Linked DNA regions of Alligator mississippiensis. The protein of the gene in region 1 interacts with the protein of each later gene in a biochemical or structural test. Links are inferred from orthologs where the notes say so. Each region holds a gene or a part of one and is shown in the gene's direction. Other genes may lie near its edges.

Region 1 (15,453 bases):
GAAAATTGATGGCACGAGAGGCTGTGTTAAACTGGTTCTGAAACAATTTGAGGCATGGTTTGACACCAGCCCAACATAAGCATTTGGCTATGGGAGGTTTGTTTCTGCTGGGTTATGTTCTCTAATGGGTTCAGTTATTTTCTTCCATCAGCAGGAGCAAGTGCTATAGCTGTATACTAATGGTTGGAGATTATTATATTTTTCTAGACATCAGTGAGGCCATCTTTTTGCAAATCGTTCTTTTCTTGAGCCTTTTACTTCTCAGTTTGACTCCGCTGCCACAGTTTTAATCATTACATTGTAACTGTATCAGTGACTTATATGAAAGAGTCTCTATAACATAACATTGTATTTTGTGCCATCTCAGCTGCACAGTGTTCAGATGGGGTTGAATAATGTGTGTGCCATCTCTCAAGTGAGACAGAAAAAGGAGCCTGGGGTAGGGAGCCTATAATTATTACTGTTTCCAGTTAGAACTCTGCAGTAACATTAGTGTTTATGATCCACCATGAAGTCTGTACATCTGTACGTAGGGTGTCTGTCTTGTTTGTGTTACAGGCTATAGAAATTACAGAAGCTCTTTGCAAAGCGCAACTGCCAGCTGCTGAAGAAAGCAAGTCCAAGCTTTCACTGTTTTCATTATGACCTTGAGTAAGTCTGTTTTTTCTGTCTTGCTGTTTGCTTTGAACTTTTTTGCAAACCTACCTGCAGTGCTAATAAAACTACAGATTTATCCACTGCAGATGGGCCTTGACACAAGGCTTCAAGTGTTTTCACAATAAAATCCATATAAATGAGACAATATAGTAGCAAGCGGATGTTAGATAATGCACCCAATAACTCCTAAGTCAATCAAGAACAAAAATCTCCTCAAGTATTCCCCTCAGAAAGTCTGACCATTGAGGTCTTGCAGCTTGAAGTCCCAGTCTGCCGTTTCTTCCACGTGGATTGTGTGCCGTGCCTCTTCAAAGCCGTGTGAAGTGAAGGTATGTCAGGTCTTCCACATGCAGCAAATTATAGGATCATGGCCTGGGGCATTGGATAAACATGGTGGAATGACTGCCAGACACATCCTGTTTCCAGCCCCCAGGTCTCCAAACCCAGAGACAGTTGAAAAGAGCTGATCTTAAGTATGAGGATACAGAGGCGCTGCCTCAAAGTCTTGTCCACAGTTGGTTGGGTTTTTTGATCAAAACAACTTCCTCTATTGCTGCCACCAGTCTAACTTCACTAGTTGGAAAATTAGTGGAAACAGCACATGCAAAAGGCATTTTAGGCATCATGTTGTTGAGACCTGTGCTCATGGGCGAGATGTGATTAAAACGCTAGCAGCCATCCTGACCTGAATCAGGTTTGGCCCCATAGGAAAAAGTTGGCAAAAACTCCCCTCATGTTACATGTATCAGAATGTTTGTCTGCCTAGGAAAGATGGCATACAATAAGGATGTGAATCTTCTCTTTGCAAATGCTCAGTACGCACTGCACGTTCAGGCTGAGAGTGCCTCTGGATCAGGTAATCTAAGTTACCCTGGACATTATGTGGACACTAAGCTTGTTCAAGGAGTTATGCTGAAGTACCTTGTGTCCTGCAGTTTCAAACTAAAGCTTGCTAAGCACAAAGGACTTGTTTACATGCGGGAATGATTCGGCAGTAAGATAGGGTATGAATTTATGGAGTACTAGTTACTCCTGGCTAACTCCTTGGCTGGACTCTTACTGTGCCATAAATGTGAAGCTGCTTCTTCTGCTGACTCTATACTCATGGTATACCTACCCTAGCTTATTTCTCAGTACCTTCCCTGTGGAGACAAGCCCTGATGCAGATAGGATACCTAACCGAGTAAGGACAATAGGGATTAAAAGCAACACCTTAATTTGTATCCAAAAACGAGCTGGAAACAAGGCTGGCTCTAGGGGTACCAGGTATGGGTCTCAGTCCTGAGGGATGCTGAACACCATAGTCCTGATCCATAAAGTGTCTAACTTTACATGGATGACCTCAGTGCCTTCAGCCAGGAAAAAGCCAGACAGACCAAAAAGAAAAGGACTTGCCTGCAAATCGCTGTGCATTCTTAAGGAATACCCCACCAGCTATTGCAGAATTCATTTGAGTTACCACTGAAGTCTCTGGTAGAAATGTGCATAACTAAATCAAAAGGAATCTTCACAAAAAGTCCACCATAAGCCCAGGGATGAGTGAAACATTTATTTGTACAATTACTTTTACATTGCTTTGAAATGCTCAAGTGGAAGGTGCTGTATAAGTTGTAGAGGTTACTTTCCTCTCTGACTGCCAGTTTTTGGCACTCTCAGTCATATCCTTTCCTCTAGATGAGAGAGTGATTTGGAGGGAGTCTTGAAGCCCCAGAAAGGTGAAAGCAATTGCAAAATGGTGCTAGAACTCCTTTGGCAGCTATGGCATGTGCCACTGCTTGTAAATCCTGACTGTCCTGGTGTCAAAGGGTAAAAGGAATTGGCCTTGTGCAATGTGAGAATTGCTGATCTGCTCAGAGGTAACGCAGAGGTGGAAAGAGCTTTTTTAGCAACATGCCTGTGATGTCCCGAAGGAAGCCTGCTCATGGGGGCTCCTCTCTGGACATGAATGTATTATCTATTTTGTCTTTATTGCCATTTCTATTACGCTCCCAAAAGGAAATGAGGATTTGTAACCTAAAAAAAGAGTTACTGGTAACTTTCCAATGGTTTTAAATGAGGTTTTTTTCCCCTTCTGTCAACCAGATTGCTTTCCTGTTGTCTGGAAAGCAAGAAAATGGCACCCTTTGGAAGGAACATGGGAGACGTCCTGATGCATTGCCACAAGCTTTGAGAACTGAAGATCGTCACCACGTATGCACTACAGGGGACAATTGCTTAACATTTGCCTGTGCCTCTGAAGAGTACTGTATTTGCAAGTTTCCCGGGTGCCAAAAAGCTGTGACTGCATGCTGGAAGCTAATGTGTTTGTGAAGCAGAGCTCTGAATTATGCCAGCACAAACAACTCCCTTTGTGAAATCCATCCTCAGGTTAAAGGGTAGCTTACTGCCTATAAGCAAGACTGTAAAATATGTAATTGTTTATTCCACAAAGGGGTTGCTTTTTAAACCAAAACAAGTCGGGGGGGGGGGGTTTACCTTTTTAATGGTTATGTGACACACCAGTGTTCACTTTTTTTTTTTTTTTAAACCAATTGTTTTATTCTGGACCGTTGCCGCCTAAGGAGGCATTGAATAATGTTTTGGGGAAATTGCTAATTAGTGTTGCAACCAGGAAATGCCTCCTACGATGCTGAAACTGGAGAACCTTCATCCACAGAATGAGCAAAATAACCCTCCCCTGGTCCTGGGCTATTTATTGTAACAAAAGGTTCTTATTAGCTCAGATGTTTGTATAGACTTTTTAGTAGGCTATGACAACAGCCATTATTTAAGGTACACAGCTCTTTTAAGTAGGTTAACTCTATTTTTCTTATCTTCAGTCTCTCAAGACCTGAAATGTTCTGAAAATAATTTGAACATAAAAGGCCATATGAGCTAATAAACACGATACATTTGCTACTTAATGTCTTGCCTGCATATCTTCATTTCATACTTGACACATGCTTATTTTACTAAGGCTCTGTAGGACGTGTGATGTAGGTTTCCAGACTAGCCTGCATGCTTCGTGGCTGTATCTGCCTCCCTGGCAGGAGGCAGGAGTCCCTGCTTCTCGATTGCACCTGTGCAGAGGATGAGTTTTAAGCAGTCTTCCAAATTCACTTGTGAAGTCAGTACCTCCCTCCTTCCTCTGTACTCCCCCACTACCACTGTTAAGTGATCTAGACCCCATTTTCAAGGGTTATTGTTAACTGATTACAGTGGGGCACAGGAGGGCAAAGCGCATAAGCACTAAAACCACACAGCTAGCGCTATTGTATGGTTTATACACAGGTTTTACCCTGATGGGTTCCTGGTAGGTCAGATAAATGCAACTTTTGCCACATACTTTATCAGTGTAGAAGTGTTTTATATCTGCCTAACTCATTAAGAGAAGGTGAAAAAATATAAGCACTTCAAGTGTATTTTAAATGAGCATAACCTTTTACGTTACCTGCAGTGTTATGTAACTATTTAGTAAATGGATTAAAAAACTGGATATAGAAAACTTGCAGGAGGTTAGCGCTATGGTTGTACCCTGCATGCTTTTTACAGAGCTGTCACCTCTCCCACCTCCTTGCCACTGTATCTTTAATCTACTTCAGAACATCGCTTGTTGAGGCACAGGAGAACTGCAATGCCCGACAACTGCAAGAGGTGGGAAGTTAGGGTTAAAGTATCAGCATATTACCTAATGTACAAAACAACCCTGTTATCAACTGTGCTCTGAGGCTTTGTATGGAAAGTCAAACTATATCAGCCAGCTAAGAATGGGACTTATTTTTGGAAACATGACAAAGTCAGGGTGTGCCTTTTCTATTGTCTTCATAGACTATACTGTTATTAAAGGAAACAAGGCTTCCATTTAACAGCTGCCTGCTTTCAGCTTGGGCAGAGGTGTTCTCTTGGGTTCGGCCTGTCTAATTATAGGAGGGAAGCAGGTAGCAGAGAGGTTCATCTCTCTTTTTAGTAGTGTGTACACTTTCCATTAATGTAGACGGTATAGAGAAACAAAGTTGATAATCAAAAAGTGTGCTTCTTTTATAGGAAGGCCATCCAATAGAGAAGCTGATACACCCTCGGCGGAATTACCAGTTATACAGTGAAGACAGACAAATTAATCGTCTCGCGCATCATCTTTGTCCTTAACTGGAGTCCTGCTACTGACATCCTTGGGGTCAAGTCTCTCAGCTCCTAAAGAAAGCTGCTATGTAACCGATAGCAGTGCTCAGATGTCTGACAACACGTGACTACAGGATGGTAGAAGTGATCGGAACAGCTCAAACATACGCAGTGCACGTGTAGTATTGCTAATTAATCCTGTCTCAGGAAGACCAGTAGGATAAGTGCAATTCAGAAAGTTTTTCTTCTCTGACTTCTGTGCGTAGATGGTAACAGCGTATCAGCTGGGTCTAACAAGTTTTTCTCTTGTAGTTCACTTGCAAAGCAGTCATGAAAAAAATCAGTGTCTGTCATGGAAACTGTGAAGAGCTGCTAATAGGCAAAATAAACGAGTCAGGAGGGAAATCCCTGTGCTCGCGTCTGCTCTGCTGGTTGTGAGCGCAGAAATGGTAAGCTGCGTTGGGCACACGTCAAGCATGTGTGGAACTGCTTGCGCTGTTGTTATGTGATTCCTGTTTGCATTGGATGTCGGTTGCAATCGAGTGTGAACTGTGTTTAGCACGGCTCTTTGTAGATGTGTATGCAGCACCCAGAGATATTGGTGGCTAGATACCTCTTTATAAAAGCACACCATAAGAAATCTAAATTACCTCCAACTGACTGGCAATATTCAACCTTTTTTTTTTTTAGCAAAAAAAAAAGACTCAACAAATTCAGTTGAAGGACAAAATCTCTGCCCAAGCTGAGTGCTACCAAGGTCTGCGGTACTTTTCCACATGTCGCAGAACTGCTTTTGTGGGGAAACTCAGGCCAGTTTCCCCACAAAAGAAATGGAAGGATTTGCGATCACAATTGGGGAGGTCAAGCAAAGCAGCTCTCACGTCTGCAGCACACCCTGCCTTTTAACAGAGCAACCTGAACTGGTGCTGACTGGTTTGTCCTTGCCTGTGCTCACAATTCACTCTGCAGTAAGAGCCCTGCCTCATGTCTGCTCTGAGCTGGACACAGGCGAAGATCTATCATTCCCCTCTGTGATTCCCCCAGAGAGGAACAGTCGGTGAACTCTACAACTGTCATCTTGGTGAATTTTCAGACAAAAAAACCTGTGGTGGAGAGTGGGTAGTCCTCAGGAATTTACCTACTGTCCCCAGAGGACAGCATGACTCCCTCGTTTAAAAATACCCCACTCAAGAGCTCAGATCCAAAGGTAACGGGTTTAGGACAAGAACCTGAAAATGGAAAACCTCCATGGTGGTAATTTTTTTAAACCATGTGGGTCACTTCATTATTTCACCTAGGCTCACCATTCACCCTGCCATAGCACATAGAGCCAAGGGGTGCAACTGCATCCCCCTCGACTCCTGCTCCGAAGCTGAAAACCACCTGCCTGGCAGTAGCAGCAGCATTTCTGCTCAGGCAGCTGTGAGGGCATCAGCTGAATTCATGGCTTGTGAAAATCGACCTGCTTCCTTCTAAACTCTTCATTCCGCTGGTATGAACTACCCTCCCTTCTTTCAGTGGTCTTGATGTGCCCCCATTAAGAGAGCTTTTCTTCTGCCGTGCTGCTGTCTGTTTGCTGCTCCTGGCAACACAGCTCCAATTTCACAGCCCGGGAGAACTCATTCCAAGGAAGTTTTATTTGGCTTTTTGCTTCCATGTGAAACTCAGTCATCCGGCCCTAGGCCGCTGGCATACGAATTAACCTTCTAGTTTATTTTTCCCCCAGAGAGAAACAGGTGCTGCACCCTCTGAGGTGATGCATCTGCAGCTCCTTTCCCAATCCTAGACTGCCCATGCTGGAGGTGCTGGGCACCTGTTCTCTGCTGCACCGCTCAGCACCTCCTGTGCTCTTGCTCGGGCTTTTTCCTTGGTAAACGCCCTGTCCCTACAGGCTGCAGTGGCTGAATGGGGTTGGAGGGGGGTTCTTATACAGACAGTCAGATGTCTGGGTTGTAGCCATGTTGGTCTAGAACAGAAGGCAATCGGGACTCCAAGTAGAGATGATCTTTTATTAGACCAGCTAGATTTTTGCAAAACAAAAAGATGTCTTCAATTGCAAGCTTTCGGGCACAAACACCCTTCATCAGGCATTGGAGAAAGGATTGTAAACGTTCTCCTGGGTTGAAATGAAAATTCATATTTCATAGGACTCCTCGGGGCAGTCTGCTCATAGCTGGTATGAAGCCTCTCACCTCCTGTGAGGATGTCATGATGCAAATTACCTTGAAACAGGCAGGAGCAGGATCTCCGGTTTCAGGTGGTCAGAGTTGCTTCCTGCTTGGGGAAAATATGAAGATTTTCATTTTTTCTAAATCGGCTAAAATTCAGTATCCTTCATATGTCCGGTATCCAGGTTGAAGCCATATTGGTCTAGAGGAAAAGGTAATTGGGACTCGTAGTAGAGATGAGATCTTTTGTTAGACCAACAAGAGTTTTGCAAAAAAAAGGCTTTCATTGCAAAAATTGAATTGCAAGATTTTTGCCAAAAAAAAAACCCTTTAATTGCAAAAATTGAATTGTAAGATTTTTGCAAGAAAAAAAAGGGTCTTTAATGGCAAAAATGTAACTGCAAGATTTTTGCAAAAATCCTTGTCTACTAGCAGATCTCCTCTCTGCTGCGAGTCCCCGTTGCCTTGTGCAGACAGTGCCTTTCACGGGCGAGCGTGGAGGTTTTGTGCCCTTCCCAGCACAGGCGGGCGCGGGCGGGAGCCTTGTCCCCGCGAGCCCGAGGCAGCGCTGCCCTGGCTCCTCCCGGAGGAGGGAGGGGAAGGGCGGGCGGAGCCGGGCGCGGGCGGGGCGGGGCGGAGCGGAGCGGAGCGGGGGGCGCTGTGCGCTGCCGGGCTCGGCCGCAGGAGCCGCGGCGGGAGCGGAGCGGAGCGGGACGGAGCCGAGCCGCCGCCATGAACAGCATCAAGAGCGTGCCGGCGCGGGTGCTGAGCCGCCGCGTCGGACACAGCCTGGAGGCGGAGCGCGAGCAGTTCGACCGCAACCAGGCAAGGCCCCCGCGCTCCTCGGCCTCCCGCACGTGGGCTCGGCCCCCCGGGCCACGAGGTCCCTTCCAGCCCCGCGCCCCGGCGCCTCTCGAGCGGGTGTCCTGCTCCCCTGGGAGGCGGCTGGCCCCCGGGCACCGAGGGCAGGTTGGCTGGCCGCTGGCTAGCCCGGGGTCCGTTGGCACCTGACCAGGCGCGGCGCGGTTTTCTTCTGCGCGAGGTAGAGTTAGTCTCCGGTCAGGAAAGGGTGCATTTGTACCTTGTAGACTAACCCGACTTGAGGGAGAGGAGTAGAAACAGGTGTGGGGGGCATTGGTTGTCGCCGTGTTGGGCTGAGGACACAGGCAGGCGAGGTTCTTTGGGTCCATGTGATCTCTTTTATTAGACCAACAGTGCGGGCTTGAGACGCTGTCGTCTACCAGAGTAGAGCGATCCCGGGCACTCGCGGTGGGTCTCCTGCTGCCCGAGGAGGTGGCTCGGCCCCCGTGTCCTCCTGGGCACAGCCAGCACTGAGGAGGCCGGGCACGTCTGTAGACTCGTTGACTAACCAAAGCATCTGTCTACTTTGGTTAGTCTGTAAGGTGCAAATCTACCTGGGCCTTCCCCTTGGCTGCAGATGAACTATTTGCCCACCTCTCTTGTACGCCCTTGACAGCTTAAAACTCAGGGGTAGAAACGCCTGTGGATTTGCAGTTGTGTTTCTCAGCTTACGTTCGGTGGAGAAGCAGCCTGTCGGGACTCATGTTTTTGGGTCATTTTGGAGAAGAGCTTTAACAGGCCCGATGTGTGGGCCGGTCGTGTTATGGGTGGGACAGCTGGTCGTGTCATGCCTTTAACCAAGTACAGAGAGAGCACTTGTTCACGGCAAGTCTGTTGGATTTGCTGGGGGGGAGATCCGTGCTGGTAGCCACGTTCGCTGCAGTTCTGCCGAAGATGGAGAGCTGTGAACTGCGCAGTGGTCAAGAAAGGCCGGCTGCAGCCTAAAAAGGACACCAATGGGATCAAATAGTTTTACGCAACCTAAGTTTGCTGAGAGTTTTCCCTTCTATCGCTGAACAAGAGGCTGTCATTTCTAACTTGGCTGCCTGCGTGCTGCCTTCGTAAGTCATGTCGGCTATCCGTGCGCCAGTCAAAATCCAACGTTTGTCCACATCTCAGATAATTAAGAGATCAGTCCGGTTACAATCCATAAGGTAGAATACAAGGCTTTTGAAAAATATTTCAACGCTAAGCATAAGGGCAGTTACAAAATGTGGACAAAAGCATCCATATCGTTAAGGCCTTGCTAGTGCACATACTGGTGTAGAAAAGCATAATTACTCCTCCTGGACGTGCGTAAATAGCTCTGCGGATGATGCACAAAAGCAAAGTGCCCATGTGCGTTCCTGAATCGGGGCTCGTGGTGCTGCTTGGGCTTGGGGGAGAATCCCCTTTCCCTTCATGTTGACAGAGCGGTTCCCAATAAGCAAACCTGGTTGTGCCGGTTGCGGTGCTGATTAGAGAGGACTCTGCCCCTGCCCGTCGCTCGCTTTGTGACCCTGGATTTTGCGTCTTTCCGGGATGTCTCGGTGATGGGGCAGCCATGTTTGCTTGCTTGTTTGGCTTTGGCTCGAGCGGAATAATCGCGTGTACAAATGTGACGTCGATTTAAGTTTAAGCAACAGTCACGTGAAACGGTGGCTCGAGCTGAGCCGCGTAGCTTCCCTCCAGCCCTCCGCCCTTGTTGCAAAACCAAACCGTTCCCCCGTAACTCAGGTTCCAGGAGAGGAGTGTCTTTTCCCCTGCGCACGAACGCAGCTCCTCCCCATGTTAAGTTGGGGCTCTTGGCTCACTTGTCACTGATGCCGGTGGCTATATCATTTGAAAGGATCGCCCAAGAGAACAGAGTCAGCCCCGCGGAGGATATTTTCCAGTGGTGTTATCTCCTGGGCAAAAGCTCCAGATGTGAGCAAATTACCGAATAGAAAGTTTTATGGCACCGGCCTGACAAGGGACACCTGATCCTTTGGCACACAGCTGGGCCTCTGAAGGTTAAGGGAGCAGCAGCAGTAAAGATTGCTGAACCAGTAGTCTGTCTCCCCACAAAGCAGCTCAGGTGAGTGTGCTGCGAGCTGCCCTTCCAGTGACTTTGGTCCTGCCCTGCCACGATCACCCTACTTAAAAAGGAGGCTGTCCCATCCTGCCGTACCATAAGCCGCTCGTTTCTGTAGACTAAGCACACAAACCCTGGTTTGTTCCACTCTTGAGCCTATCGAGGGTGCCCTCTGGGAGGGAAAGGTCCAGGATGTTAAATGGAGCCACTCTGGTCATTGTGAAAGTGCAAGGGAGTTAGGCGCCCTCCTTGTGCCAAGTGACTGAGAGAGGGAAGAGCAGGAGCAAAAATAGGTGGGGATGCCTGGCTTCCCAATGCTTTGCACCTGGGGGATATGGGGCAAGTCTGGGAGCATTTCTGCCTCCTTTTCATTTAAGAAAATAACTGCAGCAGTCATTTGATCTCAGGTGGCAGGCAGGATGGCCCAAAGCACTGTGAATGGGAGGGGGAGGCCACAGAGAGGCAGGGCGGGAGGTGAGGACTGAGCGCTCCTGCAGCAGCTAGTCATGGACAGGGCTGTCATTTCTACTGCTTCTCATGTGCTGCAAACAGGCCGGTCTGCCCTGCGGTGTGCAAACCTGCTTCCTTCCCCTCCCTGGGCAGCTCTGCAGAAAGATCTGTAGAGCAATCAAATCCTTCTCAGACAAGGAAGTAGCTAGTTGGTTTCTCCGCGAATAATGCACGCAGCCTCGTGGCCTTGCCTCGATGGATCCCAGTTTGCTTTTAAGCTGACCTGCTGCTTCAGACTATAGGCTGCTGTGTCTTCAGGATTCCTGCTCAAGGTAGCCTGTTCCCCACGCCCTGGAGAAGGCAAGGCATGCAACAACGTGCCATGGACGTGCAAAGCTACCAAAAGCCCTGGTGCTACTTTCCTCCTAGTCTCCCTTCTGCTCTGGATCGGGATGCTGTTGGGGCCGGAGGGTGCAGTAAGGCACGTGCAGTCACCCCAAGACACTGCCGTATGCCTGACCTAGATGTGCACACCGGGTATTGGCTCCCAGCCGTCCAGGGGGGTGTCATGCGATCACAGTAACACTGCACCCTCGGTCTGGCACTGGGGCCAAAATCTCATCCATCGCTAGGAATAGTCAGCGCTCCAGTGCTGGCTGTGTTTTGTGCCGGGCATACGCAGAGGTCCGTCCCCCGCCCCAAAGAGCCAGCAGTCTAAAAGATCGTGGGCACCATGCCCCGCGTTGCTTCCTAGCCTGCTTACTGCTTGCTAAATCTTTCTCCCCTGCAACAGACCAACTTTAATGTTAGGACTGTCTGCCACAACGGCTGCAACCCTAGGAGCAGAAAGAGGTAGAGTAGTTAGCTGTGTTAGTCTGAAGTCAGGCAGAAAGGCAGGGGAGACTTCGCCTATAAGGTGCAATTCTGCCCTGTAAGTGTAAGACCAGAGAGAGAAAATTCCCCTGATGATTTTTTTATTACTATTTTGTGCATCTGATGTCCCGTTGGATCGGGTCACTCCCTTGGTTTCCCCTGTAGTCTTTGTGTGGGTTTCACACCCAGACGCAAGGGAGGGAGAAACAGAAAAATAGAATCATAACCCAGTAATTAGCTGACGTGACGGGTTGCTGCCCAAAGCTAAATTACTCATCCCACACTGGCTAGATTTCAGATGGATTGAAGTTTTGTTTGTGTGCCCACTGGTCTGTGTAGGACCAGATTTCCAAATAACTTTCTGGCAAATAAACCTAATTTAGTGTCTACACACAGGTATCTTGAGAAATTGTTTTCACTATAGTAATCCTCTTGCAAAGGGCATGGATAGTGATGCCCCATATGGTTAAATCAAACCTTAGTTCTGTCTGGAAGGTGCAGGGGTCCCTTTAAATGTATTGCTGCTGCAAACGATGGTGTAAGTAGGGTAGCTGCAGGAAAGTGTCTCAGTTAAATTTGTGCTCGGAAATCCCAGACGTCTCTAGCTAATACCGGTACCGCTTGTACAAAACTGACCTCCTTTCTTCGTACCACGACCTGACCAGCCCAGGCCCCTTCACCGTCCTATGGATGAATGACTGAGCTCCATGAATCAGAAGTTGGCAGCATCCTAAAACTTCAGAGCATTAATCTCAGCAGCTGCCGTAAGTAATGACTAATTATTGACTTTATGTCAGGTGGAGCTCCAGCGTGTCACGTGGAGCAGGCGGTGCCCCTCGCTGTGCCACGGGTTTGACAGTGTTCTTGCAAGCATTGGCCGGAGGCAGAGCCGGTGGTTTTTGCTGAAGAGCGTGTCCCTCAAATATTCCGACGTTGCAATCGAGAGACTGAAACCGAGTGATCGGTTCCAGGAACTTGTAGCAATTGGCCCCTCCCGGCTTTTGAGATTATTTGGGAATGGAAATTATACATTCCTCGCCTCCTGGTACGGGGCCTCTCCCGTCACTGGCTGTACGCATCCTCCGCCCAGACCGGCTGGGAGCAGGTGCCAACAGGGAGATGACGCCATCCTGATGGAAATGAAGCTTGTTTGGATGCAGGCGCCGGGGCCTGAGCACACCTTCCGTTTCATAATGAAATTTCTTCCTTGCACAAAGCCGAGCGGTGCCTGTCCCTCTCCTGACTGCCTCTGTTGCTCATCCGGAGTCACTTCCTTCGGGATAATATCTATTCCCCTGTGGTGTCTTCTCCCTTTGCAGGAACACGCACTTTAAAAGCCAACACTAGCTGTGAGATGGGATAGTGCAGCCCAGTCCAGCAGGTGCTGGGAACTCCAGCTTCCTCCTCTTGGAGTTCATACTACTTATAGAAGTATTTTTTCATGCTGTTTGCTCCTTGTACCCAAGATCATCATTTCAGGGTTTTGTGCACTTAGCTCAGCAATGTGATGTTTGGGCTGTTAGTGCTTGCAGGGCACAGGGAGGCTATTTGAATTTGAAATATTTCGGGCAGGAGTTCCTTTGACCCGAAGGTTTGTGGGGTTCCAGTCCCCATCCCCAAAAGAAAAGCAATGCATTGGGCCAGATGTACCCAGAGGGCATGTCTTCACACACCCACACTGGAGATGTCAGTAATACAGGACCATCCAAGAGCATAAAACCCAGGAATCCTGACTCCTAGTTTCCTGCTTTAAAGTGTAGCTGGGACAGAAATATATTTGTATTGCCACTGACTTTTGCACTCCTTTCACTGTCGGGGATGAGCATCTCAGCTAAATTAGAAAGTCCTATGAACTAAGCAGATTTCCAGAATACAGGGTGTGTTTCCCCGGGTGTCGCTTATCACATCCCTTAATTTGCTTGCTTTTAAGAGGTCATTGGAGGCAGGGCCGATTTGGCAAATGCAGTGCCAGTTACAGCGAAAGGTTTACAGAGCAATATTAGGCTACCAACAATAAACCGTGAGGATGGCCTTGCAGGGACTGGACGTCCACCTCCACCGTGTAAGGCTATAGCACTTCAGTGTCTCAGGCTGGCTTGTTCCAGAGCCTGTGGTGCCTGCCCTGGGCAGAACAGGTGACAGGATGTGGGTGGAAGCGTTGGGTGGTAATTAGACGCCTGGAATGAAAGAAAGGGGAGGTGAGCACCTGGCCTTTCTCATTTGCACTCCATAGTCGTGAGCTGTACTCATTGTGTTGGGTAGGTTGTTGGGTCTGAGTAATAGACTTGGCCCATTGGGGAAAGTTGCTGGACACGTGGACCCCATTTGCAGTACAACCACAGCCTTGATTAGGGAAAGAAAGGGGAGGGGTGGCTCTGACTCCAGTGAACCACTTAGTAGGGGAAGCAGGAATCCAGGAAGATATCCATGGCTCAGCTAGAGGAAATCTAGGAAGGATGAACATAGCATTAATATCCATTTGATTGATTATGCAAATATGAGGTTTCAGCCCAGTCGAACACTGACCTAGTATGGCACCTCTTACCTAAGCCTCTCAAAGCACTCGATAAAGGGTAAGGGATGAAACCTGGCTGGGAGGCTGGTGGTTATGATCCCCATTTCACAGCTGGAGGAGTTGAGCTACAACTATTTTTTGCCGAGAGATACACGGGACATGTTTCAGAGTTGGGGAGGGGGCCCTGACACCCCATCCTGGGCCTAACCTCAAGACCTGCTTTCAGGTGTCAGGTTGTTGTATCTGCAGCCCTGGGCTCCTCCCAGCCCTTCTAAGAATCAGCTTCTAATTTTGCTGTCTGCTCTGCTGTGGTTTTGCACTGCAAGAGTAGTGGTAGGCACAGAAAAGAGAGGGTGTCTAAGTCAGTGGTTTAGGAAGCCAAAGGCAGTCCCACCATCATCTAAGTGCAGTTGTTGATGTAATCTGCTATTTGGGCCACAAACACACTGCGCGATGTTGTCTACACAGCTCATCCTGTCAGCCTGGGTCTGCTTGCTTGGAGGGAAAGGTGTGATGAGCAGAATCCCGGCACAGCCGGATGTTACTGGTAGAAACAAGCAGCGGTGGAGGAGCAAACCACGTTCCCGGGTTAATGGGTCTGCACTGGGCACAGGGTTGAACACCCAAGATGGATAGGAGGCAGTATAGATGCGCACCTTATAGACTAAGATATAGAGAGAGCATGAGCTTTTGTGAACTCGAGTTTGCTTCATCAGATGCTGTGAAAGGACCCCGTGGAGCAGCGTAGAAAGTTCAGGGAGGGATATGAGCACCAAAGCTGGGGTGAGAGGGATGAGATGTCAGGGCTGCTCCCTCTGCGCAGATTTGGAAAGGCAGTACCACGTCGCGGCAAAGTGATCTCTCACATTACAAATGTGAACAAAGCAAGCCCCAGTTCTGCAGAAACCCCCGGGGGTCAGCACATCGGACCTGCCCTGCGATGCTGTTTCAAGTCAGACCCATGGCTGACACTGCAGAGATGCCAAAAATAGGGCAGCGAGGCACAGGGAAACGCGAGGTCTCTAGTGATGTCTCATCAGAGGGAGAATGCAGACTCATTCATCGAAATGCCAGCCACCGGATCTGCCTGCTCTCCCACCCGTATTTCCGCAGAAGGGAACCTGATGAATCAGAGAGATGCCCCAGCTGACTGGCGAATGCAGTAATCTGGCTGATCTGGTCCATGACGAGCACGAGGCGAAGCACAGGCTGGTAACTTGGCTGCAGCACCCTGCCAGGTCTGGCTCGAGGAGGCCTCTCCGGCTAGCCTTCCTTTGGGCTTGGCCATGCTTGGAAATTTCCCAAACACATTCTTCTGCAGAAACGCCCCAGGGGGGATTTGTGTGGCATTTCGGTGGAGGTTTGAACCCAAGTGATTCGTGTGGATCAGAAACTTGGGCACATGGCCAGGCATAGATGAACCTTCCCCAGCCGGGCTCTGAGGGCCCTGGCTGCCCCCTCTCCACCTTTCCCAGGCAGGCGGAGGAGCGGTGCTACATCCTGAGCTCAGGTTACCCCCGCGGCCACAGGGACGGCAGCCAGCCCGGAACCCAGCTAGACCGCCCTCGGATCTGGAGTCACGCAGCACCTCCGCCTGCCTTCGTTTTCGGAGGCCGGGTGACTGTTTGTCAATAGTGCATGAATGAGCCTCTGTCTCGCTGCCTCGCAGTGACGTACAGGCCTTCTCGCACGCGCCGGGCCGAGGCGACCTCCTCGAGAGACGGTGGAGCCGCTGTGGCACTCGGCCAAGGAGAAGGCAGCCGGCTCGAGGCAAGCGT
Region 2 (16,065 bases), on another chromosome or scaffold:
CATCCACACTAGCCTGCTCTTGATATTCCTGCTTGGGTTTCCTTGAGATCTCCCCTCGTTTCCCAAGATCATTAGGAACGTGATGTTTGGCTGTTCAGCTGAGAACCTACTGGGAGGCTGGAGCTACAGTTTCCACATGGAAGAGGATGGTCCATGTACCAGGTGCTTGATTTTCTCCCCTCATTTCAGCATTTTGGATTCTACCTACACCTACTGGCTTCACCTGGACAGCAAAATCCCTGCTGGAGATTTAGTCCTGGGACCAGGTCAGGACTCTGCTCTGTACCTTGTGATCAATTTGTTTCACTTCCTTCCTCCTTCCAGCCCCATGACATTGCCTTCTCTCCCTCTTCTCTCCTGTCTACTGGACCAGAGACTCTTCTGCTTCACTCTCACTACCCCTCCCTGCTATTTGCCAGAGATCAGACCTTTCCCCAGCGTTAGAGAGAAAGGTACAGAAATTCAACTCTTCTGCCACTTAGACTGTGGTCAATTAAGAAGGAGAAGTTTCAGTCATAATGCACTCTGATTTATTCAGATGTACATCCGCAGCAGGGCCCTGAGCTGTGGTGTTTCATGTAAATCTGGTATTTCCAGCTGGTTTTCATTCTTGCTCGTACATCTTCAAGTCAAACTAGGCCTGCTTTGCTGCTGAAATATGCTCTCTGCTTTGCAGCAACTTTCACGACCACGAGGTATGTTTTAAGATCCCTTTTACAAGATTTGCTGTCACTGAATTACACTCAACATTTTCCTTGCCAGACTCCCAAGGGGCACCCTTGGCTGTCAGCTCGTACAGGTACACAACAAGCAGCTGTAAGGAAAGCGTGCATTCTGGATGCCCTTCCCAAACAATGACCCTGGGCAGGCACTAACATGCACACTGACCCTGGGCAAGCAAGCCATTCATGCAGCTGGGCTTTAGGAGGGAGAAGCTAAGACTTCCTACAGCATGTGTTGCAAAGCTCCTGATCACCACCTCTTTTAATGCCAGCGTTTGCACATTTACAAGATGCAGAAACACATTCACACCTTTGTCTCTACAGATCAGAGTCGCGACTAGGCACTGTTAACGAGGCTGCATGATGGAACATTCTCTCCATTTCTGAATTATGCAAATGCAGTTGCAGTTTCAGGCTGGAAAGCAATTATACACCACTGTCATTTTCTAACATTATCGCACTCAGTGAGCACTGAATCCTTGGGGCAGCTGTAGAGGCTTACAAAGCTGGTTAAGCAAGGCTTTGGCAAGCAGCGCTTCACCACATGGTTCCCTGGCCATCCCTCTGGCAGGACAGTTGTGTTCCTGGGTAAAGCTGGGGCCTTGTCCAAAGTGGCAGCTTCCAACAGTGTAGATTAGCCTACAGCACTGTTGCCTATGTCACCTAGGATGACTGCACGGCACAGGGCAGTGCCAGGCTGGGCATCTTAACAGCACTGAGGAGGCCTACCTTGACAGCTGCCCCAGACAGATTAGAAAGCATAGCGCCAAAGACACCCAAACACTGTCTGCATCAGTCCTCCCACCACTGCTGCACACAGGAAACCTGCCTGCTGGGAACAGTCCTCCAAACCTGGCTGCATAGGTGCGGCCTCCTATGCTGACCACGTCTGCTATCCCCTTACGAAGCAGCACTCACCGCCACGTTCAGGTGCTCATGAAATCAGCTCAGTGATGTTAAAAATATCTTCCCCTAGAGTTAGGAGCTGTATGACTACAGTTCAGTTGTCAGTCAAAAGCCATTTTTAAACAAATCTCACTGGCAAAGCATTAATACCATTTCTCTGAAGCTCTGGGAACCCTCTCTAGTTCACTCTTGCAGAGAGGCCACATAAGAAGCCTGAAGCAAGCAAGACACTTTAATTTGGACTTCACTCCTACGGTCCAGGGCTTTTTTCTGTGGACTGTACAATGGTCCACACCTGAAGGGCTTTCCTGCAAGCTCTACTAGCCACATGCAAGAAAAGATAAGCACATTTTTAAACATCCTTGGTTTTAAGCACTCAGTGATGTTCCTCTGTAAAGAGGAAATCACTACTTCTTTTGTGCCTACTTACCTACCTCAGATACCTTTACAGCTTCCATCACCGGAATATCTATGTGCAGTGTGTCTCGCGTTAAAGTCAGAGGATGGGCCCTTTTAGACCAGTTGTTTTACTTCTTACTCCATCTTTAGATAAATAGAGATAAGAAACTAATCCCAGAAAACCAGTATTGTCAGAGGGGCTCAAAAAGATCACCTCCATGTGGAATGGGAGCTCAAAAACTGACATACTGGGTAAGGGGCTTTCAAACACCAGAAGACCAAGAACAGTGAAACCCTATGCAACAAAACATAAGGACCTGAGAAGTTCAACATCTCTCTCTATACGTCACTTGGACTTTGGTACATTGAGATTGTTGTTATACTGCAAAGCAGGTTCATCCAGTTTGTACCTTTCAGCCTTAGGATGTCAATTAAAATACTGACACTTCACTCCGAAGCAGTGGAGAGAGGATGCTGATATTTGCTCAAGAGGGCAAGCATGAAAAGTATAGGTTTTGTACATTGGACTGTTTGGAAACTTCTCCTTCCCTGGACAGGCTTGCGTTGAAACACTACATAAAAGATGCGTGTCCATGCAGCCTACAACTGGCACTGCTATTAATTCCCAGCCCACTGCCAAATTCCAGAGAATTATGTTTCCAAGGGTGAAGAACATCTGACTTTTAGCAGCACAAAAGCCTTTGCCAAATCTTTTTCGGCGAGAGCTTCTTTGCGTGTCATAAACGTGCATACCAAAGATTCTGAGGTTTGCAGCAGCACCCGGCATATTAGAGGGGTTTGCTACTGAGTTTCCCTATTTCCCACCCCCTTAAGCGAAAGATGTCTTCACCTAGCGCTCCATTACTTGACTTTCAGTAATCATGATTCCAAGCAAATTAATCCCTCCCTCTCGCTCCCTTTAGTAGAGACTATATTCTTTTGTGCAAACTTCTCCTTGTTTCGCTGAAAATGAAGCTATCCCATGCCTGTGGAAGAAAGCCAGTGGTCAGTAGCATTACATTGCCACACAGAAGTTTAAATAAGTTGCAAGAGTCAAGCCAGAAATGCCATCATGGACACTGTACAGTGAGAGCCTACAATATCTGCTTCATGTTCCTTCTAGCTCCCATCACTCTGCACTGCTCAAGCCAATTCACACGTAGCTTTTCCCTACAGCTGTCCCAAGACACAGCCTTGTCAGAAAGCAAAACTTTACTTTCTCCTCCCAGTCACTGCTGCTGCAAAACACTAATTTCTCCCCTTGCCCCCTCCCCCATGCTTATTATCCCAATTCCATCTCTTCAAATTGTGCTTAGATACTTCTCACTCCTCAATCTCCCTCCCTCACTCTCTCGCATTCCTTCTGTTGTGCTGCAACGAGAACGCTGTTTAGGGCCTCAAATGCCAAACTCAACTCCTGCTGTACTACTCCCATCAAGCAATTCCTCTTCCCCTCACCAGCTCCCACACCCTTCACTCCTCTTCACTGTTGTCCTGCACCTCGTCCTGTTTACATCGTGAGTAGGGAATGCGCGTGTGCATGAAGTGCCTTGTAGCTCTACAGCACTACACAGAACTACTCGCTGTCCTTTACGTCTTCCCAGTGCTCTGCAGGCAACGTTCACAAACACTGAAGCTGGGTGCTGTGAGGTTTGTGGGACTTCTCCTTTGAGAAGTTCCTGCAGCCTCTGCAGCATTGTGCAAGCTGTCTGGGAAGAATTCATGGCTCTTTATAAAGATCACAAAGTAAGTGATACTAAAGCTGGGATTGAGAAGAGCTGGATTCATTGCCCAGAAAGATCTCAGTATTTTGTCCCTACTTCCTTTCAGTCCTCCCCCCCCTCATTAATACCCTTAGTCCACAGGTCCCTGCTCTGGTCCATTTTCTGCACTCCAAGGCAGCAGAAGGAAAGACGTGATCCTGACAGTTCCACTGTTGCTATTTTCACAGCCCTGTGGGCAGCAGTGAAAGTGGTAAGAGCAGCTGGTGCTATCTGTCCTGATTCAGCAAGGTAACAACGACAGTAACCTTTAACACTGGCTTCATATTTAGAAGGCAATATTGACAAACAGGATGGAATTCACATGACTAGAGTAAAGCTTTGTTTCTGCACAAACCAACAGCTGAATCACTTACACATGAAACATCTACACTTCCTTTTGAGCAGCAAGCGCTAATACTGTTTGTGACTTGGAAGTAGTTTACCCTGCACGGGGGCATCATTTAACACTAAAGGACACCTGACCAGACCTCTTCTGTGTACATGATCCAGAGGACTGAGAGTTGCCTACCACAGCCGTTGACAAAAACAAGTGAAGTTGAAAGAATCATTCACTTCAAGCAAAATGTTCTTGAAAAGAACTATGAATTCAAATGTTTATGAGCAGGGCAACTCCAAGACAGCACTGCCAAGACAATGGGCAGTACACAACTATGCAGTTAACCCAAACCACCCGAAGCTATAGGAATCAGCTGGGATCCTATGACCCCAGCTGACTTCCTGCCCTTTGGGCAGGGGCTGGACTTGATGATCTTCCAAGGTCCCTTCCAGCCCTAATGTCTATGAAATCTATGAATTCTGAAAACAACCAGAGTTGAGATATTTCAGCTCATTACTGAGCAGCAACACTTTAATTACCTCTTGTTCAGTTTACTCACCATCTGTCACAGTCCTCATGATAGTCTTTCAGCCTTAATGGCAGGTTAATAATTTCCAATTAAAAACTGCCTGAAAAACTGCTCAGAGGAAGAAATCCCTGTGGTCTCTGAGAACTGCACAAGCTGGGCCCAATACCTTTCAAGAGAAATTCAGTGTTCTCTCTGGAGAGACCACCATCTCTGTCTACTTATTTCCATAGTGCACATCACAGGGCAAACTGCCTCCATTGTACTCAAGCTGACAGTGAGGATGAGGAGGAGGATTTCTTGTGGGTTAAGTCCAGGACTGTGTGTGCAACAGTTGAGGTTTATTCTCCACCCTGACACATGCATGTTTTATGATGACTATTGCCTTTTTGTGTTGCAGCAAAAGTCAGAAATCGCTAGCATGCACCAGAACTCCACTGTGGCTGCTATGGGATGATCTGAAGTAAAAGAAACCCTCTGCCACACACACCTTACAATCAGAATGATCACATTTCTTGCATGACCTTAGGTAAGTCCCTCTCTCCTTTCCTGGGTTTCCCCTAAATAAAATGCACATAATTGTATTTACTTAGCCTACAAGGGGATTTTGAAATGTAATGAAGATGCGTAAAGCATCAAGTTCATCAGCAGTTAGTGACACAGAAAAGCAAATAATTAGTAGCAGCAGTTAAGCTTCAAACACCTACTGACCACTATGTGTTGGGACAGAGTAACTGAGAAACAGGAAAGGGTGCAGTAGAAGGAAGGACCATCTCTGAGGTCTAGAAGCATTAGCTCCATTGCTTTAAATGTTCCTGGCTCTGCAAAACAGTATGCATACAGAACGGCCATAAATACTGAATGGCATTTGAGGTCTGTCAGAGTGGGAAATACACCCTGGTCTGTCAAAGCCCCATCCCACACTTTAGCTTTACTGCTGCAACGTGGGTCTGAACAACGGCTCCAACCCAGCACCGCCTCGACGGTCACCCCGCTGCCAAGCAGCAGCTGCAGATGTGCTGAACCCGTCTGGAGACTCAGGAGGATTAGACTGAAAACATCGGTAGTCTGATCACAACTGGAATATCACCTTGATATATCACCCGGGATCTTCAACTCATGACTGGAGGCCCAAGGACCACGATTCATAGTAGTTACATGCTGTCACGCTGAGCACAGCGGAGATTAACAAACAGCTCAACCAACCACAAGTTATCTGCTTGGGTTACTGGGTGAAATGTTAGGTCTTTTGATCCACTCAAAGCCCTTAATTTAGATCAGTGGTTCTCAACCTTCACCCCTCGCTCGCTCTGACGCACTCATCCTTAGATCTGAGGCCCTGCGTGGAAGTTGCCAGCTCTTGCTTTTCATTCATCTTCTGAACACAGACAAACACCAGAGCCAATCTCCTGTCGCAAAATACACAACGGGGCACAAATATATTTCTGATCTCTTGATTCATTTGCAACAGAAGATTGGCTCCAATATTAATACATGTATTCTTGACACTCTGGGTTCCCGTTTGATGTCTCTGGTCTTCTGATACGCATCACGTTGCAAATTTTACCCCATGGTCAGACAGGCACGGACGACGGGGGTTTTAGCTTCCTCAGTAGCCGGGGGGGGCCCTTCCCTGGGATCGCTTGAGCATGTACTGACTGCGTCATCTCACGAGGTCTCTTCCAGCCCTAACCTTCTGCGAATCCGTAAACGTTTCATGGAAACGGGACGGTGGCTACTACGGGTCCCCTGCCATACCTGCACCAGGTTCGGGCGGGCTGCCTATGCTGCGCCCCGGTTAGGTTACCTGCAGTCCTGTGTCCACCTGCGGGCCCCCGCTGCAGAAAGGATGTGGACACGTTGGAGAGAGTCCAGTGGAGGGCATTGACAATGGTTGTGGGCTGGGGACAGGACTGGTGAGGAGCGGTTCAGGGAAATGGGCTGACTGAGTCTGCAGAAGGGAAGACTGAGGGGGGCTGAATAGCAGCTTCACCTCCCTGCCGGGGGGCTGCAAAGAGGATGGAGCTGGGCTGGTCTCAGTGGGGCAGATGCTGGACAAGGAGCGATGGGCTCCAGCTGCAGCGAGGGAAGTTGAGAGTGGATATGAGGACAGCACAGTCTCCAGGAGGGCGAAGCACTGGAGCAGGCTCCCCAGAGCGGTGGTGCGGTCTCCACCCTCGGAGGTGGTGAAACGGCGGGTAGACAAAGCCCTGGCCGGGCCGGGCCGGTCCTGCGTGGAGCGGGGCTGCGCTAGACGCGACTCCCGAGCTCCGCTCCCCTCCCCCTCCCGGCCCGTGACTGGATTGCGCAGGGCGGCCTGACGCTGCCTCGGCCCGCGCCGGAGTCGCTGCCGGCCGCGCTCCGAGCGGGCCAACCCCACGCGGCAGCCGGCGGCGGCAGAGGAGGCGCTGTGGGCCGGGCCGGGCCGGGCCGGGCACGTGCGCGCGGGGAGCGCGGCCCAGTCATGGGGGGAAGGCCCCAGCCCAGGGCCGCGTTGCCCCGGTAACCAGCGGCCAATCCCGGCGCTACAGACCCTGGGGGGCGGGGCCTTCCTGCTCCTCCCCCGCCCGGGCCCCGAGAGCGGCGCGGCCGCGGCACCTGGAACTGCAGCAGCTTCTCGGTCTGCTCCGCCGTCAGCTCCCGCTCCGCCGGCGCAGCCATTTTGCTACCGCCTCTTGACCCGCCGCTCCGTCACTCTCGGGAAGTGACGCTACACTTCCGGTCCTCTTTGACCCCCCCCCCCACGGCGGACGGGTCGCGGGAGGGCGTTCCTCCGCTCCCCTCGGCGTCGTTGCTCGGGGCTTTCCGAAGCGCTCCACGTGACCACCCGCCCGAAGCTGCTGGGAGGGTTCCGGAAACACCCGAGCGGTCCACGTGACCGCCCGCCCGAAGTCTCTGGGAGGTTTCCGGAAACACCCGAGCTATCCACGGTCACGTGACAGTACACCCGAAGCCGCTGGGAGGTTTCCGGAAGCGGCCGAAGGCTTCAGGCAGCCGTTGGCAGGGCTGGTGCGCGCGTGCCGCAGTCCCGCGCCGTGACGTCGCCCCCGGCCCCGCCCATGACGTCACGCCGGTGACGCCAGCGCGCGTCCCGGCCCCGCCCCGCCCGGCGCAGACATGGCCGAGGAGTTCGGGCTGTTCGCGGGCGCGGCCGAGGAGGACCCCGCCGCCGCCTTCCTGGCGCAGCAGGAGAGCGAGATCGCGGGCATCGAGGGCGACCCCGGGCCCGGGAGCAGCCCGGAGCCGCTGCACGAGGACGGTGGGCGGCGCGCTTGGGGCCGGGGCACGGCGGGGGCTGCCCGCGGGAGGGGGCCGGGCCCGGGGCCGGGGCCGGGGGGGGCGCCCTGCCCGCCGTGACCCGCCGCCTCTTCCCTCCCTCGCGTGCAGCCGGGGCGCCGGACGGGGCGACCGCGCTCAACGGAGACCTCTTCCAGGTACGAGCCGGGCTGAGCCGGGCGGGAGCGGCTCCAGCCTCGCCTCGCCCTGCCCTGACTCACGCGCCCGCCCCCGCCCCCGCCCCGCGCCCGCCGTGTCATCCTCGGGGTGCCGGCACCCCCACGGGCGGGGGGCGGCTGTGACATCACAGGGGTGTGATGTCACCAAGCCCCTCGTGGGCACCTGGGTTGTGTGGGCTGCCGCGGGGGGGGCACAGGCGAGCAGCCCCCTGCTTGTGGTGCTGGGGGAGGGAGAGCGAGCAGAGCCCGCTGCCCCGGGGGGCTGTGCTCACTCAGCGGGGCAGGGGGGCTGTGTCCCGCAGGAGTCCAACGGCCCCACGGACGCCTACGCCGCCATCGCCAAGGCGGACCGGCTGACCCAGGAGCCCGAGAGCCTCCGCAAGTGGAGGGAGGAGCAAAAGCAGCGGCTGCAGGAGCTGGGTGAGCACGGGGAAGGGGCGCGCGCAGGGTGCGGGAGCCAGCCTGCGCCCCCACCTCCCCCTGGGGCGGAGCCGCCCGCGCCGCCGTGACCGACTTCTGCCCCGGCCACAGACGCTGCCTCCAAGGTGCTGGAGCAGGAGTGGCGCGAGAGGGCCAAGAAGGACCTGGAGGAGTGGAACCTGCGGCAGGTTGAGCAGATGGAGAAGAACCGGGTTAACAACAGGTGTGGCCGGGGGGGAGGTGGGGACCTTCCTGGAGCAGGGAGGAGCCGTGCTTAGAAATAGGGGCATCTCTCCCCGTGCGAGGCCTCGTCCTGGGGGCCCGGGTCCTGCGTCAGCCCGACCCCACTGCCTGCCACGCAGGGGCCGGGCGTAGCCGGGGTCTCTGCTTGGTGGAGCGGGGCGTGCTCCTGCCGGCGGTGCGCGGGCACTAACACCTGCCCTCTCTGTCTGTCTAACCTGCCTGCCTGTCACTCTGCTACTTCTCTGTCTGCTGCTCCTGGGCTAGGATTGCTGACAAAGCCTTTTACCAGCAGCCGGACGCCGATGTGATTGGCTATGTGTACGTGCCCCTCTCTCTCGCTCTCTCCCTCTCTCTTTCTGTTTCTCTGTCCTTCCGGTTGGGGATTTCCCTCTGCCTGGTGTGGGGGTCTGCAGGGCTGTTGGGGTCTGGTGGGGGTGTCCATCCAGCACCTCCCACAGTGAAGTCCCCAGAAGCGAGTGGAGCTGCAAGGTGTGGAGGAAGGGGGTGAAGTGGCGGCTGCATGGGGGTTGCATTATGAGCCCACCCCCCTGGGGGGGGTCTCTGGGGTGGCAGAGGAGCCCTGGGCTTGTGCACCTGCCAGGAGCCTGTTCTTAACCAGACTGCAGAGCCCCTGTGCCCGAGGGATGGGGGGCATGGGGAAACGGGGGCATTGCGGGCAGTGGGCAGACAGTGGCTGACCCCCTTTCCCCACAGGGCCTCGGAGGAAGCCTTCCTGAAGGAGTCGAGGGAGGAGGACCCGGGCACGGAGTGGGAGAAGGTGGCGCAGCTCTGCGACTTCAACCCCAAGAGCAGCAAGCAGAACAAGGACGTCTCCCGCATGCGCTCGGTGCTCATCTCCCTCAAACAGACGCCCCTGGCGCGCTAGCCCAGCCGGAGCGCCGCAGGGGCACGGCCCCCCACCAGCTTGCCTGGATGCGCGCAGCATGTGGGGCCCGTGGTGGCCAGCAGGGGTGCTGCCCCCGCCGCGAGCACCTCCTGCGGGCGGGTGGCTGTCGCTGTCCCCCTGGTTTTCCTTTGCTTAAAGGGTGCGTTGGTCTTTTTACACTTATTTATTACCGTGGTGGTTCCCTCGGTGGTGGGTGGGGTGGCTGGGCTGGGGCTCCTCCCTGCCAGGCCCCTGTTGCAGGTACCCCCTCCCCAGCTGGTGCCTGGGCCCAGGCTGGCTGTGATGTTGGAGGTAGGAGTGTGACATCACCGTCTGCTTGCGGCTCAGCGCGTGAGGAATTGGGATGTGCAGGGCTGGGGCAGGGGCTTGGGTGGGCAGGAGGTCCTGGCCTGGCCTGGCCTGGGGTGGTGTGTGGGGGCTGGAGATGCTGAGCAGGGCAAGGGAGGAGCCTCCCCCAGGGAGCCTGTCCTCTGGGTCTCACTAAGAGCTTCCCGCCCCCTGGCTCCAGGCTGAATGGAGCTGCCTTGATGACTGCTGCTGTGAGGGGATGCTGAGCTTGGGTGGCTGACTCTTCCCAGCAAGGCTTTGGCCCCCTGCCCAAGCTCCTTGCTGGTAGCAGAGGCAGGTGCTGGCTCTGTGCTGGGTAGGTCTGACCCAACCCCTTGTGGCTCAGCCCCCAGCCCTGGGATCCCAGCCTGTGCTGAGGCCTGGTCCAGGAGCCTGAGATCTGCTCCCTGCTGGGCTGCGTAGACACCATATCACCTCTTGGGCATGTGCTCAGCCACCTGTCTGCAAGGACCTGGTGGGTGGGGAGGGCTGGGTACAGCTGGCAGGGAACTCGGGGCAAAGTCCACAGCACATGGGCTGAGCCTTGCCTTAGGAGACCCTCTCCAGCCCCACCCAGGCCAGCTCTGCAGGGCATTGGCTCTGGGGTGCAGGAGGCTGCTGGCTGGGTGTGGAGCTGCCCAGCAGGGCAGGACAGGAGTGTGCTACTTTGCACAGCTGGGGCTGAGCTGGTGCGGGGAGGAGGGGATGGCAGCCCACAGCTCTGCCTAGGCAGCTCTGCCTGCCCCTTTGCTGCTCCAGGGGCCAGAGAGTGGGGCCTACCTCACTCTTGCAGCTGCTGGCAGAGCCCCCTTCACTCTGTTCTGGGAAGCCCCAGGGAGGCTGTTGCTTGCGCCCCGCAGAGAGAAGGAGCCCCCAGGCTTCCCCAGCCGGCCCTGACTGCTGCTGTCACCTGGGAGAGAAGGGACACCTGGCTCTGGGGAGGGCTGTGCCTGTGGCTGTTCTGTGTGTCCCCAGCTTTGGTATCTGTGACCTTGTCCAAGCCACTTGTTACAAATAAACTGACAGCTCCAAACCCAGGAGGTGCTGCCCTTTCCTTCCTCACTCATTCCTCGTTCAGGCTGGAGGGGCAACTCGGAAGCAGCTGCTGTGCTGGGAGCCCACAGGCTTGCTGGCAAGTGGAGGCCGGGAGCCGGGTAAAGGAAAGGGTGGGAGTGGGGCGGGGGAGCTGGTTTCATAGTTGGTCGGGTCGGAAGGGACCTGAGCAGATCATCAAGTCCGACCCCCTGCCACGGGCAAAAAAGGATGCTGGGGTCAAATGACCCCGGCAAGGTGACTATCTAGCCTCCTTTTAAAGACCCCCAGGGTAGGAGCCAGCACCACTTCCCTTGGAAGTTGGTTCCAGATCCTAGCTGCCCTGACTGTGAAGTAGCGCCTCCTGATGTCTAGTCTGAGTCTACCCTCCATCAACTTATGGCTGTTATTCCTTGTTACTCCAGGTAGTGCTCAGGGGAGCAGGGACTCCCCCATTGCCTGCTGGTCTGCCTTTGTCTATTTATAGATGGCCACTAGATCCCCTCTCAGCCTTCTCTTGTGGAGGCTGAACAGGTTCAGGTCCTGTTGCCTCTCCTCCTGGGGCCTGCCCCCTTGTCATGCGGGTGGCACTCTAGACCCTCTCCATTCTGTCCACATCCCTCCTGAAGTGCGGTGCCCAGAACTGGACGCAGTACTCCAACTGCGGCCTGACCAGTACCGCACAGAGGGGGAGGATCACATTGGACTTGCTCGTGACGCATCTGTGGATGCCAACAAGGCCTTCCTGACCATGTCCCCATGCCGTCGGCCCATGTTCATCTTGGAGTCAATAATGATTCCAAGATCCCTTTCTGTCTCTGCACTGACGAGAAGGGAGTTCCCCAGCCTGTAGGTCTGCTGCTGATTCTTCCTCCCCAGGTGCAGCACCCTGCACTTGTCAGTGTTGAACCCATCCTGTTCTCATCCGCCCACCCCTGTAACCTGTCCCGGTCTGATTGCAGCCTGTCCCTCCCTTCTAGCGTGCCCACCTCCCCCCACATCTTAGTGTCATCTGCGAATTTGAACAAGGTGCTTTTCAGCCCCTTGTCCAAGTCGCTGATGAAGATGTTGAACAGTGCGGGTCCGAGGACCGAGCCCTGGGGGACCCCACTGCCCACAGCCCTCCAGGTTGAAAATGACCCGTCCACGACCGCTCTCTGGGTGCGGCCCTCCAGCCAGTTAGCGACCCATCTGACTGTAGGCATCAACGCCACAGTCACCTAGTTTATTAATGAGAAGGCCTTCCTGAAGTCCAGAAAGACTATGTCCGTCGCAACACCTGCATCTAAGGATTTTGTGACCTGGTCATGGAAGGCCACCAGGTTGGTCTAACAGGACCTGCCTCAAATGAACCCATCTCCCCTGCTTGCCCCTTGCAGATGTGCACCCAGATAATTAAAGAGCTTCCCCAAGACTGAGGTTAAGATTAACAGGCCTATAGTTTCCTGGGTCCTCCTTCCGCCCTTTTCCAGTCCTCTGGCACCACGAGTGCTCGTAAAGCCATGCCAGGGTTCCCGCAATGACCTCTGCTAATTCCCTCAGCACTCTGGGGTGGAGATCGTCAGGACCTGCTGATTTTGAACACATCTAGTCCCACCAGAAGTTCCCTGACTAGGTCCTGCAGAGGCCCCATTTACCTACTACCTTCTTTTTACTCCCTATGTATTTAAAAAAGGACTTCTTGTTGTCCTTGATCCGGGTCGCTAGTCCCAGTCCCATCTCCGCCTTGGCCTTCCTGACCGCCCCCTGCAGCCCCAAGCAACTGAGGTGTAGTCCTCCCTGGTGATGGCCCCTCTCTTCCATTGGGTGTACGTCTCCTATGATTCCTTTTGGCCCAATCCTCCAATTTGTCTAGTTCTCTCTGAATCCTAGCCCTACATTAGTGTATCTACTACTCCCCCCAGCTTGGTGTCATCTGCAAACTTGCTGACGGTGCACTCTATGCCATCTCAGAGCAGCCGATTAGCTCCAGGGCCTCTCATGGGGTTTGGGGCATGCTGTCCCTCTGGCAGAGTGGCTCAGAGCCTGGCTGGGCTGGACAGGAGCAGTGGCCCCTTGCCTGGAAGGGTGTCTGTGGTGCAGCTGCCTGGTGCAGTCTGTCCCTGGGAGAGGGGGGAGTGACGAAGCTGAAATACGAATGTCTTTCTGGAAGCGTTTATTATATGTTGCTTCTTCCTGGCTGAACCCGGATGCTCCTGCCCCTGGGGCCCAGCAGCTCTTCCCCAGACACAAAGGACACCGGTTCTGCGCAGCACCACGACTCCAGGGGAAACCTCCCACCGACCGGCAGGTTTCAGGGCTACGCAGAGGTGTTGCCCCAGGCAGGACTGGGCCCACCTGGCTGGCAGCATCACTACCCTTTGCTTTGCCCCTTTGCCCACCAGCACATCGCACTCCACTGCACACGCGCACTCCCCTCCCAGCGGGTCTGGCAGAAGAAGAGATTAATCGTAGCTCCTGGAGCTCTGACAGCGCTGGCTAGAGAAGGGTCCTCAGTAAGAGACTCCTACCCTTTTCTGGGACTCCTCCACTCAACAGCAAGCCCGGTCTAATGCACCTGCATAGACTTTATCACCTGGGGCATCTGCAGATGCAGGCAGGGCTGTTCCCTCTGGGATCTGAATTTGCAGAACAGTGTGGTCTAGTTCTCAAGCCATGGGGAGAAGTTTTATGCAGTGAAAATCCTGCTAGAAACTGGCAAAACCACCCTTAGGGACCCCACAGCAAGTGTGCCCCAGCTCAGGAGATGTCCCATCCGCACTAAGGGGGGACTGCATTGGCCACGTCCTATCTGCACTGCTAGGCCAAGGTGGGAGCAGGCCCCTGTCCTCATCCTCCATCCTACTTAAGGCCCTTTTGCTCTGCTGCACTGGGGCCAGACACTTGCTGCCACCTGCACTGCACTAGCCCCAAGCCCAAGTGGGAAGGGGGGGCACCTAACAGATCACACAGCCCACCACGGGACGCAATCGCTCGCTGGACAGCATCTAACCAGCCAGGAGGGCTGTCCCCTCCCGGCCAAAGGGTTTTGCTCCAATGTCCTTCTAACCCTCCATGTATGCCGCGATCCTGCATGGGTTCCCACGCGGCCTGCTGCCCGCTGGCGATGCCAGCCCGCTTTTATAAGACCAGGCGGGAAGGCCGTCCGGAGACGCTGCCACCCCGGAAAGGCCGAGTGCCGCTGGCGGCAAGAAAGCTCACGGCTCAGGCTTGGGGTTGAATCACGGAGGTGTATTGGCTGCAGCCGGGGCGGTCCCGGTGCCCACGGCTTGGCCTCCTCTCCCGGGTTTCAGAGCCGTGACCACCACCCCCACCATGAGGGCGGCGATGGTGAAGCCCTGCGCCAGGATCCGGGCCCGCATCATCAGCTGCGACTGCTGCCTGTCGCCCTTCTTGAAGCAGACGAGGCCGTAGGTCAGAGCCCCCAGGGTGCCCAGGCAGCCTGCGGGGACGCGGGAAGCAGGTGGGCAGGAGGCCGGAGCTGCCCCTTCACCCCGGGCTGGCCCCCCGCTCCACCCTGGGCTGCTCTCCGACCTCCGACCCCAGCCTGGGCTTCCCTCTGACCCTCCAATACTTCCCCCCCCCCCCACTTGTCCCAGCGGGGGTCAAGGGTCAGGGAGCTCTCTCTGGCCCCTCTGGACCTTCAAGCCCTCACCCCTCCGAGACTCCCCTCCCCCACCCTGAACTTCCCTCTGACCCTTGACCCCCCCCCGGGTTCTCTCTGACCCTTCAAACCCCCCCTCCCCTACCCTAGCCCTCCATCTGACCTTGACCCCCACCGGCGACTGCTCAGACCCTCGACCCCTCCGGCTCCCTAGGCGTGTCCCTGACCCTTGACCCCCACCACGGGCTTCGTCTGCCCTCCGGCCCTTGAACCCCACCCCGGGACCCCGATGACCCCCGCCCTCACCGATGGGCACGAGCGGGTTCTCGCGCATCTTGCGCTTGAACTTGTCGGAGAAGCGCTCCTGGTGGTGCGCGGCGCTGGGCTCGAAGCCCTCGATCACTGGCGGCCGCCCGGGGTCCATAGCCGCCACCCGCACCTCGCCGCCCGACACACGGAAGCGGGCGGGCGGGCGGGCGGGGGTTTCCCCTCCCCGCAATCCCAGCAGGCCACGCGGCTTCCGGGCGGCGCGGTGCACCACGGGCCTTGTAGTCCCGCGCGCGGGCGGGACGACCCTTCCCGGCGGGCCCCGCGGCGGGCCCGGAAGCGAGCGGCGGGCGCGTGGCCGCGATGCCCAAGGCCAAGGGCAAGAGCCGGCGGCAGAAGTTCGGCTACAGCGTGAACCGCAAGCGGCTGCACCGCGCCGCCCGCCAGCGCGCCGCGCCCCGCGTCCAGTGGTGCGGCCCGGGATGGGGGGGGCTCGGCTCGCACCCCCGGGCCAGGCAGGGGGCCTCTGCAGCCCCCAGCGAGCGCTGGGCGGTCCGCTCTCACCTGCCGGGGGTGGCAGCCCCTGGGCCGACGAGCCTCTCCCCCCTCACCTCACCTGGCCTCTCCCCGCAGCGCCCAGATCCGCCATGCCTGGGACAGGAGCAAGTCCGTGTCGCAGAACCTGGCCGAGATGGGCCTGGCGGCCGACCCCAACAAGGCTGTGCCCATCCGGAAGAGGGGGCCGCGGGTGAGCGGGGCGGGGCGGGGCGGGGCGGGCTCCCTGCTCGGTCTGGGCGCAAGGGGCTGCGCGTTGGATGGAGCCGTCCTGAGCGTCCTCCTCTCTCGTCCGATGCAGCCGACAGACACGGAGGTTGATGGGTGCGAGGGGGCGAAGCCGGTCGTGCGGAAGCCGTACGTGCTGAACGGTAGGTGCCGCCTGGCTGGGATGCTGCCTGTGCCGCCTGCTTGCAGCCCGCGGCTGGCTCGGCTCGGCTCGGGCAGACCCCTTTGCACGAAACCTCCCCTGTGTCCCCGCGTCCCTGCCCGCTCTTGTCCCCGAGCGCGGAGCTGGGAAGGGAAGGGAAGGGGCACGGGAGGGGCAGAGCTGCCGCCCTGGCTCCCCGGGGCTGTGGCTCAGTCTCCGGGTTGCGCTGGGC

Evidence for each region.
Region 2: the proteins of HIP1R (region 1) and CLTB form a complex in vitro, tested with the Homo sapiens proteins (2 studies listed by BioGRID). The link is inferred for Alligator mississippiensis from reciprocal best matches to the Homo sapiens genes HIP1R and CLTB.

What each region holds. Positions count from the first base shown.
Region 1 is NC_081833.1:5,415,091-5,430,543, forward strand, and holds the start of HIP1R (huntingtin-interacting protein 1-related protein), read left to right. Parts: upstream 1-7,573; 5' UTR 7,574-7,655; coding exon 7,656-7,748; intron 7,749-15,453. UniProt on the Homo sapiens protein: Component of clathrin-coated pits and vesicles, that may link the endocytic machinery to the actin cytoskeleton. Binds 3-phosphoinositides (via ENTH domain).
Region 2 is NC_081832.1:79,156,607-79,172,671, reverse strand, and holds CLTB (clathrin light chain B), read left to right. Parts: upstream 1-7,671; 5' UTR 7,672-7,770; coding exon 7,771-7,912; intron 7,913-8,040; coding exon 8,041-8,087; intron 8,088-8,392; coding exon 8,393-8,528; intron 8,529-8,639; coding exon 8,640-8,751; intron 8,752-9,035; coding exon 9,036-9,089; intron 9,090-9,485; coding exon 9,486-9,657; 3' UTR 9,658-11,042; downstream 11,043-16,065. Other genes in the region: FAF2 (FAS-associated factor 2), read right to left, coding at 7,252-7,314; HIGD2A (HIG1 domain family member 2A, mitochondrial), read right to left, coding at 14,259-14,479, 14,948-15,065; NOP16 (nucleolar protein 16), read left to right, coding at 15,272-15,378, 15,542-15,656, 15,765-15,834. UniProt on the Homo sapiens protein: Clathrin is the major protein of the polyhedral coat of coated pits and vesicles.